Drosophila melanogaster: one gene and its partner. The protein of the gene in region 2 interacts with the protein of the main gene of each other region in a pairwise test. Each region holds a gene or a part of one and is shown on either strand. Other genes may lie near its edges.

The links. The genes of interacting proteins can lie anywhere in the genome.
Region 1: the proteins of CG16815 (region 2) and Pif1A come close enough for resonance energy transfer, tested with the Drosophila melanogaster proteins (one large-scale study listed by BioGRID).

Annotation. Positions count from the first base shown.
Region 1 is NT_033777.3:8,797,250-8,804,391, reverse strand, and holds the start of Pif1A (PFTAIRE-interacting factor 1A), read left to right. Parts: upstream 1-3,215; 5' UTR 3,216-3,517; intron 3,518-3,612; 5' UTR 3,613-3,698; intron 3,699-4,447; exon of another isoform or gene 4,448-4,930; intron 4,931-6,345; 5' UTR 6,346-6,490; coding exon 6,491-7,068; intron 7,069-7,142. Other genes in the region: CG9839 (uncharacterized protein), read left to right, coding at 1-827; CCT7 (chaperonin containing TCP1 subunit 7), read right to left, coding at 990-1,313, 1,387-2,206, 2,273-2,533, 2,712-2,714.
Region 2 is NT_033779.5:13,227,061-13,232,533, reverse strand, and holds CG16815 (uncharacterized protein), read right to left. Parts: upstream 2,703-5,473; 5' UTR 2,629-2,702; coding exon 2,050-2,628; 3' UTR 1,985-2,049; downstream 1-1,984. Other genes in the region: Prosalpha6T (proteasome alpha6 subunit, Testis-specific), read right to left, coding at 1-426; CG16813 (uncharacterized protein), read right to left, coding at 4,127-4,681.

The DNA.
Region 1 (7,142 bases), on a different chromosome or scaffold from region 2:
GCACTGTGTACACCTCAAAGTTCTATGGAAGCTACGGCCTGGCTCAGGAGTTGGCCAAGAAAAGCACCTATTGCACTGGTCTGCTGGACAGGAATAGATATGGCAACAGTAAGGCACTGGTGCACCAGCGGTTGGATTCCAACAGCATCTCCACCAGCTATGCCACTTCTCTGATGATGGCCAAATGGCGACGACGGGCAAAGAGCTTGTACTGCTTCAGCTCTGACTGCTTGGCCATTTATTCCAAGGAGATGGCCATGCAAAAGACAAATGCAAAACCTAAGTTGATCCAGGAGCTCGAGTTTCAACTACGACCTGGAAACGACGGTCGCCACCACCTGATCCACTACCAAGCTGCCTGCAAGGAGCTGAAGGCAAACATAAAGTTGACCATTTTCCTACTCAACATCCTCGTGTACAATGCCTATTTGCTATACTTTGCTAATGGCCAGAATGCGCGAGTCGGACATCTTAAAAGTTACTCGGAGTTCCGGGTGATCATCATAAAGTCGCTTCTAAGAGAAGAAGTGACGAACGAACCGGTAACTAGTATCCAGAAGCCAGAGACATATGAACGGTCAAAGAACAAGCCGGTGCCCGAGCCCAGGTTGAAGACCATTCTACACGAACCCATGCTTATCCAGCAGAACGGGAAGCCGGCCAAGAAAAACTGCCGCTATTGCCACAAAGGCGGAATGCTGCAGTTCAGCAGGTACATGTGCAACACCTGTCCCGATAAGCCGGGTCTATGCCAGGAACCCTGCTTCCTTCTCTGGCATGAGCAGCTCAAAAAAGTAATCAGACAGACAATTGGACGAAGTGAATAAAAATGGATTATCATTCGTTAAGAGGAACAAATGTTTTTTGTTTAAAGTTTCACACACAAGTTCTTTAAAATAAAAACTTATCCTTCCCCCTTTCAAATATAAATTTCAAATTCACTCATCGTTAAGGTGGCTTTGTATGGACAAATACCATTGGACACTCACCCTGGGCGTGCTTCTGGCGCAACTTGTTGAGAATGTTGGTGGCATCGAAACCGGCGTTGTCGCACAGCTGGCGAGGAATGATCTCCAGGCCCTTGGCGATGGCAGCAATCAGCAGCTGCTCCTTACCGGCAATGGTGCGCGAATAGTCCCGCAGCAGCTTGGACAACTCCATTTCAATGGCACCGCCGCCGGCCACAACGGAATCGTGCTTGATGGTGCGCCGCACGATCATAATTGCGTCGTGGAGGGATCGCTCAGTCTCCTCCAGAAACTGTTCGGCACCGCCACGCAGAATAAGGGTGCTCGTCTTGGCATTGGGGCAGCCTATTTAAAATGGAAAATAACAAGTGGTTGTTAAAACGAGTCCTTCAATTAAGTATACGAATAAGATTCTTACCTTGGAAGAGGTTGAAACGTTCGCCGCCCACTTGGCGCTCCTCGAAATGTTCGCACAGGCCGAGTACATTGGGCTTAATGTCGTTGGCCGTCGTCATTACGGCTCCACCGCAAGCCTTCATGGTGCGCTTAAGATCTTCTTCGGGAACGCGGCCGGCGCAGAATATGTCGCGGTCGGCGAAATACTGTGTGGCCACATCACCGATGGGCAGCTTGGAGAGGACAACATTGGCGCCGGACTCGTGGATCTTAGCCAGCTTGTTGTAGAGGATCTGCCACTCGGCGTCGACCACCTTTTGGTACTCCTTGACGTTGTCTACGCGGATCTCGGCGTTATCGCGCTCAGCCTTAAGCTCCAATTCGATGTTGAGCAGGGCAATTTTGCAGTTGTCATAGGATTTGGGGGCCATTTCAAAGCCGGCATAGGAAAAGGTCTTCTTGAAGGCCACACCCGACACTAGCTGTGACTCCTCCAGCGAGCCACCGGTCACCTTCTTAATTCCAATCATGTTGAGGGGCAGCAGCTCATCCAGGGAGAGCACAGCATCGACTACAATGCGGGAGAAGAAGTCCTTCTGCTGGTGAATCAACTTGGAGGACATGGCAGTGGCTGCGCACTTCTCAAGGAGAGCACGCTGCTGGTCCTTGGACTGTTCGACAATTTGGACGGCCATTTCGTTGATCTTTTCCATGCAGAGCTGCAGGGCCTTGCGGATGGCCTTAATGATGACTCGTGGGTGCACTCCCTCCTCCACGAAGGGTTTCACCTGCTTAAGGAACTCGCCGGCCAGCAGAACCACGGACGTGGTGCCGTCACCCACCTGAAGGAGAAGTCGAATCAAAGCTTTAGCAGTGTCACGTGCGTCTCAGGGGTGCCAATCACTTACCTCGGCGTCTTGTGACTTGGCAATGTCCACCAGGGTCTTGGCCGCCGGGTGGATGATCTCCAGCAGCTTCATGATGGTGGCTCCATCGTTGGAAATCGTCGCCTTGCCGTGGGCATCCACAATCAGCTTGTCCATGCCGCGGGGACCCAGAGTGGTCCGCACTGCGTCCACGATCGACTGGCAGGCATTGATGTTGGACACCAGTTGCGGCTTGCCCTGCGACGAGTCAGTGCCTTCTTTGAGGAGCACGATTTGCGGTTGCTGCGGATCATACGGATATAAGGCGAATATATAGTAAAAGTCTCCAATTAGTCAGCAGATGTCGTCGGCTTGCGAGAAGCTTCTTTGCAGGTTATGTTTACAATCTCATGCCGCTCGCGGACGAGTCCATGATTGGGATTCACTTGGTTAGCCTCGGATTATTTCCAGCCGGACTTACCATATTTATGTGATGGGGTTGGCCTTTAGCACGTATTACAGTTTAAAACAATAAAGTTCCTAGCAGACAGGCGGCAACTTGCTTTTCGTTCACGTTTTCCGCGATGAGTAATGGGCCAATCGATTAATCGTTGTTATTTTGTATTTAATCGATGCTTGCAGCCAGTGTGAACGTTTGGGGACTTAGTCGCACTTTACAATGAAATTTGAAATCCTAACTCATAAAAAACTATCTATTTATTTCTATCTTGCGATTTTTTAACTTTATGGTACAAAGCTAGTTTCCACACTTTTTGATGAACATTTTAAACTAATATGATATGCAGCTGGTAGTTGTTATCGAAAAAGTTATCGATGGCTCCATGACGTCACTCTTGACCGGCGAGCGGTTTTTTGAAATTGCTCCCAACTTCAAATATAGATTTGTGATTCCTTCTATTTATATAAATTTGGCGATGCACGCACGCATGTCGCTTATTCCATTTTAGAAAGTGCGCCGCATCTTCAGTTTGTTCCTACCGCTCAACTTGAGTGAGTTGTGCACCGAGCAGCAATTAAATGAAAAATAGAAGAGTCATTTGAAAGGCCAAAACGCCAGAACATTCAACCGCAAATAGGTTTAAATGAAAGAAAGCATTCTAAATCTAATTCGGTCATGTGGAATTGGAATTTTAGTTGCCCAAGACTCCTCTTAACGACGACATCGAACCACAAGGGATGCCAATGGATACTAACCGGATACTAGACAATTGCCGAGTGATTATGAAACAAATCAGGATGCTGAACCGACTATGAAAAATGCAAATAGTGAGTAAGAAAAAGAAAAGTGAAGTGGGGCTCCCACACGATAAGGCACTCAAATCAAAGTGCAAAGTTTGTTCCCCTTTTGTGCTTTTATTTAGATTTCCCCTGTGTTGACTGACTGGAATCGGAATGTGTTCTAATTGTGTCCATCATTCATCGCGTCGTTAAGGCGATTGTCAAATTTGTATGTGATTTGTGAAGATTCTTCAGCTGTTGGGGATTATAGACATAAAGATATTCATACGCAATACGTTTGGCATTTAAATCGAAATTAAAAGTATGAAATTTTAATTGCCATAAAAAGACTATAAAAAAGTTGAGCAACTTAAATGTTTTGCAAGTATGTTTATTACCAAATTTATTTACTTCTGGTCTAAACATATAATAATAGATGCACGTTTCAACAGCTTTAATGTCACGTCTTCAGATTGCTCTTAAACTTAAACTAGCACAAATGCTTTGTGCTGATATATGTTTGAGCAACGCGCCTTAATCATGCGGAAGTACTTATAACAATGTTTACACAGATATAACAATTTAACTGAATTTTATCATTACTTTATCAAACTTATACCGAATTAATATCCAATCAACCTGAAGTTCCGATATCTTTTATTTCACTGTTTGTTATTTTGACCAATTTCGTGGCGGGTTGTGTGCATATTTTGGTTATTAATAAACACGCGACTGGTTTTTTTTTGTTATGAAGTCGGGAACCGGGAGGAAAACATCTTCGGCTTTCAATAGATGGGCTCTTCCGGCTTCACGTCGGCCATTCTTCGGGGCACGCACACAGACCCGAGCTTTGCCACCCCATAACCCCAAGAAGTGCATGAATAAATGGCAAAGCTCCTTTTAATTAAATGGAAATGGAGGCAAATGTGAAAGAGCTTGCGAAAGCTCGAGAGGCCGAGTTAGTCAATCGGTGTCCGGCCGAAACGAAAGATCTCTGCTATCGCCGAGCAACGAAATTTACCTAGTATAGAACACTTCTTTTAATTTACAATTCAAATTGATTGCAACTAATTAGGATACTCCCCAAACGAACCGAACATAACTCACTTCTATTCCGACGAACTTGTGTAACTTAATTGATATAATTTCGAACTTCCTGTACGAACTGTGTGAATATATTTGAACAAAAATATATCATACTTTGCTTAACAATTGTCGAAGAAGTGCTCCACATACCGACGATATTCTACTTGGTCTGTGCGCGAAAAAAGTTGATTGAAAATTAACGTATTGACGTCATTACACTGCAAGAAACAGTGGCAAGCAGGCAGTAAATAAACTGTTTACATTACAACATCGTCGGTCGACTTAGTGAGTGAGTGAGTGAGTGAATAAACATATACAGAAGTTTGAGGCACACCAACTGTTGGTCTACGACGCCCAAGGATTTCAGAGCTAATGGTGCGTATACGTGATCTTCGGTGAATCAGCCGAAAGAGCCGCAGACTGTACACTCGACGGCTGACCGACTCATCGTTTGGCAATATTTTCAAATTGATATATGACTGAAAATATACATACTTAAAGAGCAAAAAAGAGACTTTCATCTGCCCATGTGGATGGCTGTGGATGTGGATGGCAATCGAGTGGGTGGCTTTGCTCGTATAAAACCAATCCCAACCAAGCCGGTCACACCGAGGCTGTGATGTCACCATGGCGTGTATGTCGACCCCAAAAACACTTTATTATCGAGTGGACTGGGGGCGGTTTTAAATTTAATTAAATGAAATGCAACATGAGAGCCATCATTAGCCCCAGTCCTTCAGTTTATAGAAAAGCCACAAAATAAATATTACATACATTTGGAACGAACACCTCTTTTAGGGTAGTTTTTCCACTAACAGTTCGGTTTTGAAATACGTCCAAGAGTCAATATCATAAAGTTTACTAATAATTACTTATAATTTATGTTGATAACCAGAAAGTAATAAACTTGGGCACCACTCACTTAAGATCCCTCCCTATTAACACCTAGTGTATCGAGCTGGAAAAACAAATCAAATTCCAATTAGGCGCCAGAAGGTTGCTAAGTACACAAATCTGTCGCTCTACATGTGTATATAGATCGTGGCCTTGATAAAGATGATCGGCCAGAAATCTCGGAGAGCATTCTATGAACATATGAACTGTGGGCCTACTCGTGTGTGCACCTCATACAGTATATATATAGATGCTTTGTTATAATCTTTGGGGCGGATGTGGGAGCAGTGCAAAGAATTCTGTTTCTGTAGAACAAAAAAAGTAATGAAAAGCGGTTTTATTGCGTGTAAAGCGCCCCAGTGGGGAACCTCACAAAACAAAAAAAACACATGTACATATGAATGTACGTACATATTCTGTTCTATTCCAAAAGGCGCGCCACATGACGTCATTAAGAAAAGTCATTCCGGACCAGTTTATTTGGTAAGCCCAACGCAATTGGCGTTGTAAACTATTTCCCAGTCCCAGGGTGCCTATATGTTTCGTTTTTCATTCATATGTGTGGCCCGACCCGATGTGGCGAAATGAAGGAAAAAGCTTTTCCGCTGAAATCAATAATGGGGGAAACTTGTTGATTAGTTCAACCCAGTGAAGAAAAGCGTTGAAGAGTCTACGGCTAAACAGAAGCCATTGAAATGCTGACAGACAAAGGGGAATCTTTGCGATTCTGAAGAAACAACCTCCATGCGGGCAAAGACTCGGAATTCTGTATACTGTGTAATTTTTCAAGGCATAATTTGTAATAAGTAGATAAGAGTAGGGCTTTTATTGTATATGCTTAAAGCATTATTAAAGCCACATTATTGTATACTTTATTTTGAATATATCGCTTACAGATTGAGGAGAATCCAACGATGACCAGGTGAAGTATAGCAGGGACTTTCGGCAGGATCGGGGTGCACCGGCATATGCAGTACTTGAAAAAGCAGAAACCCAAAAAAAAACGACGGCAACATTTTTATATACTAAAGTTACATAAAAATGGCTGAAAACCAAACCAAAACGACCTCTAGCAAGGGATGTAATACAATGAGCAGGACCGCCCATATCCTGGCGCCCCACAATGGGACTGTGGTCCGCCGGACGGATCCTGGCTCCAAACTCAAAGAGAGCTTCCACACGGAGAAGCACGATATCGAAGACTGGCAAACGATGGCCAAGAACAAGTTGAAGCGCAAGAAGAAACTGAGCAGCTCCCTGACTTCCGTTGGGGATACGGTGAATCAGGAGAAGCGCACTCGCATCGAGGGCATCCAGCTGCATTGTCGCGGCAAATTGCGACCCAAGGAGACCCAATCCTTTGAGGCCGAGAAGGGCCCATCTGCCGGCTCCCAGAAGCAACTGGGAAAGGCAGAAAAAGATCGAGAACGACCCGTAATAATTGGTGGCGTGACTACCACAAATGTGATAGCAGCACCTCCACAAAGGATCAAGAGAAAACTGCAGGAGAACATGGACACCATCCAGAAGCTAAATGCCCTCACGGAGCAACTGCGTCTGGAGGTAAATGAACTGAAGTCCAGTCTGATCACAGAACGCGGTGCAGTGAGAGCCTTAAGGTAAGTCCATTAATATACATATATACCAATAAGGAACGTGATAAGCCCATTTCATTTTACCTTAATCGCACCAT
Region 2 (5,473 bases):
TGGTCCCTGCTCATCGTATCCAGCCACCAGCAAGCCCACACCGTAGGGACGACGATCATAGCGCTGGGTGGTGGTCTGCAGCTTGTTACCCAGATTGGAAACCAAACGGCGAACCGGAAATTCTGCGTTATAGGAGTGCCGATATGCCATGCACTCCGTCCTCATGTACTGGCACACCACGCGGGCATCTGCCGTTAGTCCTGCGATAGACATACCCACGTGGTCATCCACCGGCATGATCTTCCGCTGGAGCGTGTTCGTGTCCTTTGAGGTGCGGCACAGGGCGGCCAGCACGGCATAGTCGGTGCCCTTGAGTCCCACGGTGGCTGCTCCCTGTTTCACCGCCTCCATTGCGTACTCCACCTGGAAGAGACGACCCTGCGGACTCCAAGTGGTTGTGTCGTTGTCATACTGATTCCGGAACATGGCCAAAAGTGTGAATGAATTCAGCGAAATAACGTTAGCTTGTTAGTTGCAAATTTGTCTAGCTTGAGTTGAAAGTAATTGAAAACTGATATTAATTTCAAGGGTTTGCTTATTCATAGAATTTCTTAAAATATTTACTCGTGTAATTGTTAATTAATCAATTTGTAATGGCCAATTCTAACTAATTTCATAGAATGAGGTCACAAAGAAAGGGTTTCGATGCATACCAAGAGAAAAGCCAATTGCAATCCTAACTTTGCTTTCACTCCAGCTAACTTGCATAATGCCTAACCATGTAGAAAATCAACGGTCTATGAGGAAGTTCGGGTGATCCGATGGAAAAAACATAGGCTGATGTTCGTCACTGAGTGCACCCGCCTCATATGCAGCCAACTGCATCGGGCTGTGAGTGAAAAATAGGAGCTATGATTTAGTCGAAGTATTCATGCTGCCGGGGAAGCCCCCTGCACATAACATAATTAACTCTTTTGGCGATTGCGCAATCGCTGTGCGCGAGCAGTTAATTACTTTTAATTTTCATTGATAGTACTTGTGGCAGTCCGACTTCCTATGGCGCAAATTTCCGTCGCAACTCCAACAACCCAGTAAACCACTTTGCACTTGTACCATGCAGCCAAACATCAATTTCAGTTAATTGTTGAGTTTTTTTTTTTGTGGCTGCATTTGGTTTTTTTGTTTTTGGCTTTTTTCTTCTTTTTTTCCAACTGGCCTAACATTGAAAATTGCATTTCTGCGCTTCGAGCTGTGTGTGCTTGCAAAACTCCGTCTCACTGGCCAATTGAACTTGAAGCTTTGCTTGGACTTTGTCTATATCTCCATATCGCCACATCCGATCTCTGTCAATATCATTAGCCAACAATCCACCGCGTTGAAGGCGATGCCAAAAAGCTTGGCCCAGTCCAAAATGTGGTTCTTTGTGGCGGGTTTGAACCTTGACGAAAGCCGCCACGAAATGAGAACGCCATGAAAATTAGCTAGACAACAATTAGTTGAACTTTGCTGGGTAATGGCACTCTGGGTAAATGGTTTCTCGGAAAAATCTGTCAATGCTTCGATGACTCACTTACTCCAGTGGTCAGACAAGTCACTGGAGTAAGTGGTTTTTGAGCCCTTGATTGAGCCCTTTTTTACCAAAAGTCATATCAAATAATAGATAATCTACTTTTGATAGCAGTACTTTTAGTTTTATTGAGCTAAAAATTATACCATAAATTTTATATATTATGATCACGATTAGGTTGTAATTAAATTAGAAATGATAATTGATCTCTTAATCATTTTATATAATTTTACTATTTTTCAAGCCGGTGGGTTAACTTAAAGATGTTTAAAATCCTAATATATATAGCATTATTATACATATGTAAAAAAATGTAATGGTTGCGATCCACTGACCTCCTAACAAATTTAACAATCATTTTAGATTAAATTTCGAATTTTCCAAGTGATAACCCCCAGTTAACAAAACCGGCAATTTAAATTAAATGCATAACTTTTGATTTATTTCAAAGTCAACAATAAATATTAATAATTAAGGCTTAATAAACTAAATCACATGATTGGGCTATCCATAGTCGCTGATTATGATATGATTTTGGACGGTCAGCAGTGCTGGCCACCAAAGATGAGCATCTGCTGGGAGAGGGCCATCTGCTGGAGGAACTGTTGTTGCTGCTGCGGCAGGATGTGACCCGGTGCCGGATTTATGGCACGCTGGAACACCGCCTGTTGGAGGATGTGGCGGTAGTATAGACTGAGGCGCACCTGCTGTTCCAGCATGGCGGCATGATGACTCCGATACTGCTCGTACTGCTGACCCACTTGCTCCTCCTGTGCCTGCTTGGCCCGCCGGCTGAGTAGGCAAGCCAGCGTGTTTCTATCGCGGCGCATCTGCTCCTTGGGGCTTCGCTGACGATTGGTGTTACTGCGGCGCACCATGTTGGCACGGTACTGGCTGACCGAGGATCCTGGGCCACTGGGTTTCGCCGCCGTTGACGTCTCCTTCTCCGCCTGTTGGTTCTGCTCATTATCCAACCAAGGTCGGAAGAATCCCTGTGTCTGACGGCGCTTGAAGATCGGCTGTTCCGACTGCTGAGTTTGGTTCTCCTTGTCATGGTCCACTTCCCGTTTCCGCTTGCTGACGGCAAACTTCTTGTGGGTGTAGCTCGATGAGTTCTCCATTTTTGTATTTCGATAATATGACTCCGAATGAGTTGTGGTGATGATGTGACTCGTTGGACGATCGCTTGCTGAATGATTGGCTTCGAGATTGATATCCTGGTTATAAGCACAGTAGGTAGGCGGTACAGGTAGCCACATAGGGAAATCCCTTTGTTTTGGGTCTGTCAACAAAGGGATTAGCGCATCCATTCCGCATTAGGTAATCTCCGTCCTGGATTAAGCAGCATATTTTATGACCTGCTCTATCACAGCGCTAATTGTCGTCGCAGGATTGCCTCATTATCCTTTTTTTGGTGTGTGGATTACCTGGATTATCGGACAAATGTGGCCACCGGAACAGGAAAGTTCTGGACCGAACAACTGTTATGCAGGCGATGCATTTTTTTATTGACCTGCATGACACAATTTGTTGTGGCACCGTGTGTGGTCCCTTTGGCTCCTGGTTCCTCAGCACACTTTGTTTTAATTCCCTGGAAATTCTCGAGGGTCCTTTGCCGAACACTTTTCCTCTAGAATGACATGGCATTATATGTCCTGGTCGGTGGTTAGAAAAAAGTGTCAAGGATTTTTAAAGACTGCTGACAGATGCGATTTCAGTTTACGGAGAAGGAATTGCATTCATGGAAGTCTTGAGAGGTGAATTAAATATATTTAATCCATTTATTAGTTTAGGTAGTAAAACACGCCTTTAAAAATATTTAAAGAGTTAAATAAACTTCGTACAAACATGTATACGGCATATATCATATATATAAATGAATTAGTAAAACACTATTCGTGTAAATAATTTAGTATATTAAGATTTATTTATCTGCGCAATTTTTAATCGCGGACAACAATATGATGATTTCATTGATGATTATTTAAATATAAAGGCGGATCTTATTGTCACCGTGTTTTAATTATTTTGCAAGCACTTTGTTCGTTCGCTATGCTGATTTGTTTATAAATTAAATAATTAAATCCAACTGAAATAAATTACAATTTTATTCCGTGTTTCCCACAATATGTCACTCGTGCCGAATCGATTCAATTCTCACTGTAGTCTGGCTATGTGAATCACTAGAATTACTTCACACCTTAATTAGCATTGCAAATTGCGCTTCCAAGAAATTAATTACATAAGATGTATTTAATGTTATATAATGGCAGAAAAACCAAGTGAGGTAACTCTTATGAGCTGATGCTTCCGGTCAGTTTTGGTCTAGAACAAATCCTCATGATGTTAAACGGCGGAAAAGAAATATCAGACTTCCAAATAAGATTCAATAAATAAGACCCCGAGTTAGATTTCAATCAATCAGAAACCAACTAAAAACCAATTATTACAAAATTCTATAAAAATTACAAGTTATTTCGATAACAATTAGTGTGTTTATTGTTTAGTCAACCAGATAAATAAATTAAACTTTAAAAGTAATCACAATCACTATTCAGCTTTTCTACAATAAGTTAGGGCGCATTGAGCAGCGCCCAGTCGTTGCACCATGTCCACCCTTCAAGGATGCTGGGTGGTGGTCTGTTGGCGCGGCATCATGTGCCTTGGCTGTGTGGGAGGCAGTGGCTCCGTGGAGGCCATCGCCTGCTGCAGGAAGCGCACATAGTAGAGACTCAGGCGGATCTGCTGCTGCAGATTGGCCTCGTGCTGAATGCGACTGGTCAGGTATTGTTGTTCGATGAGCTGCTGCTGTTGCTGCTGGGAGCGTCGATGGCGCAGGCTGGCCAAGGTGTTGCGATCCCGACGCAGTTGCTCCTGTGGACTGCGCTGGCGGCGCTTGTGGTGATTGCGCACCATGTTAGCGTGGTAGGTGCCATCCACTTGTTGTGGCGGCGGTGTCGATGTAGCCACAATCTTACGTGGCGGCTGTGGTTGCTCCTCTTCCGGAGACTCATCCATCCAGGGTCGGAAGAAGCGACGCTTAGGCTGCGGCTGCTCTGGAGTGCGTTGGCCCGGCTGTTCCATAATGAAGACCACATCGTCATCAGAGTCCGCATCCATGCTGCGCTTTCGCTTCAGAGCTCCAGTGAATTTCTTGTGGTTATAGTTATCCATTCTTGATTAAGAGTAGTGGTGTTCGCTTTGCTGTCTTCGAGACGACTGTGCTGCCCCTCCTCCTGGCCATCCGTTTTATGCAACATTAGGTAACTTGCAGAGCCTCCCACGAAAACGGAATGGCCAAATGGCAAAGATTTTCCCATCACGTACCTGGGGATCACGGTAAAACGGATCAGGTATTTCCCCAACGCATTTCATTCATTCCCTAAAAATGGGACCAAAACTAATCGGCTGCTGTTACCTGAATTGGGAATAGGGAGTTCCTAATCCGCAGGCTGGCAATCTTCTCAAAGGGTGTCATAAACCAGTTGTTGTCCTTGCCTCGTCTGTTTACGTGGCCGACGATTTTCGACGAAATTACCTGTTGTCGGGCCCGAAAAAGGGATCTCTGTGTAGAGGATCCCTGTGTAATCTCTAATCCTGGCGCTCAATTCGTCCAGGCTGTCTGCCGGCCGACCCGCTATTGTTTCGGCTTTCTTTGTGGCACCTGAATAGCAGACATGCTGCAGTTTTCAATGCCCGATCTCGATTCGAACAACAAGCGTTTATGACTTTCAGCTTGGACAGCTGAAGAAAAACCGTCTCGGAGTTTCTGAATCTCCCGGTACATGTACATACTAGCAAACCTAGAAAACCGGCAATTACTGAATGCTCCTCCCTCTGCTCCCTGGTTTCGTGTCTTTGGCATTATGTCGGATTTTTCCGTTTCATTCAATGGTCCATTGTCCATTGATTTATGCCGTCAGGGAACGAATGTATATGTGGTAGATGGTTCTCACATTTCAGTGT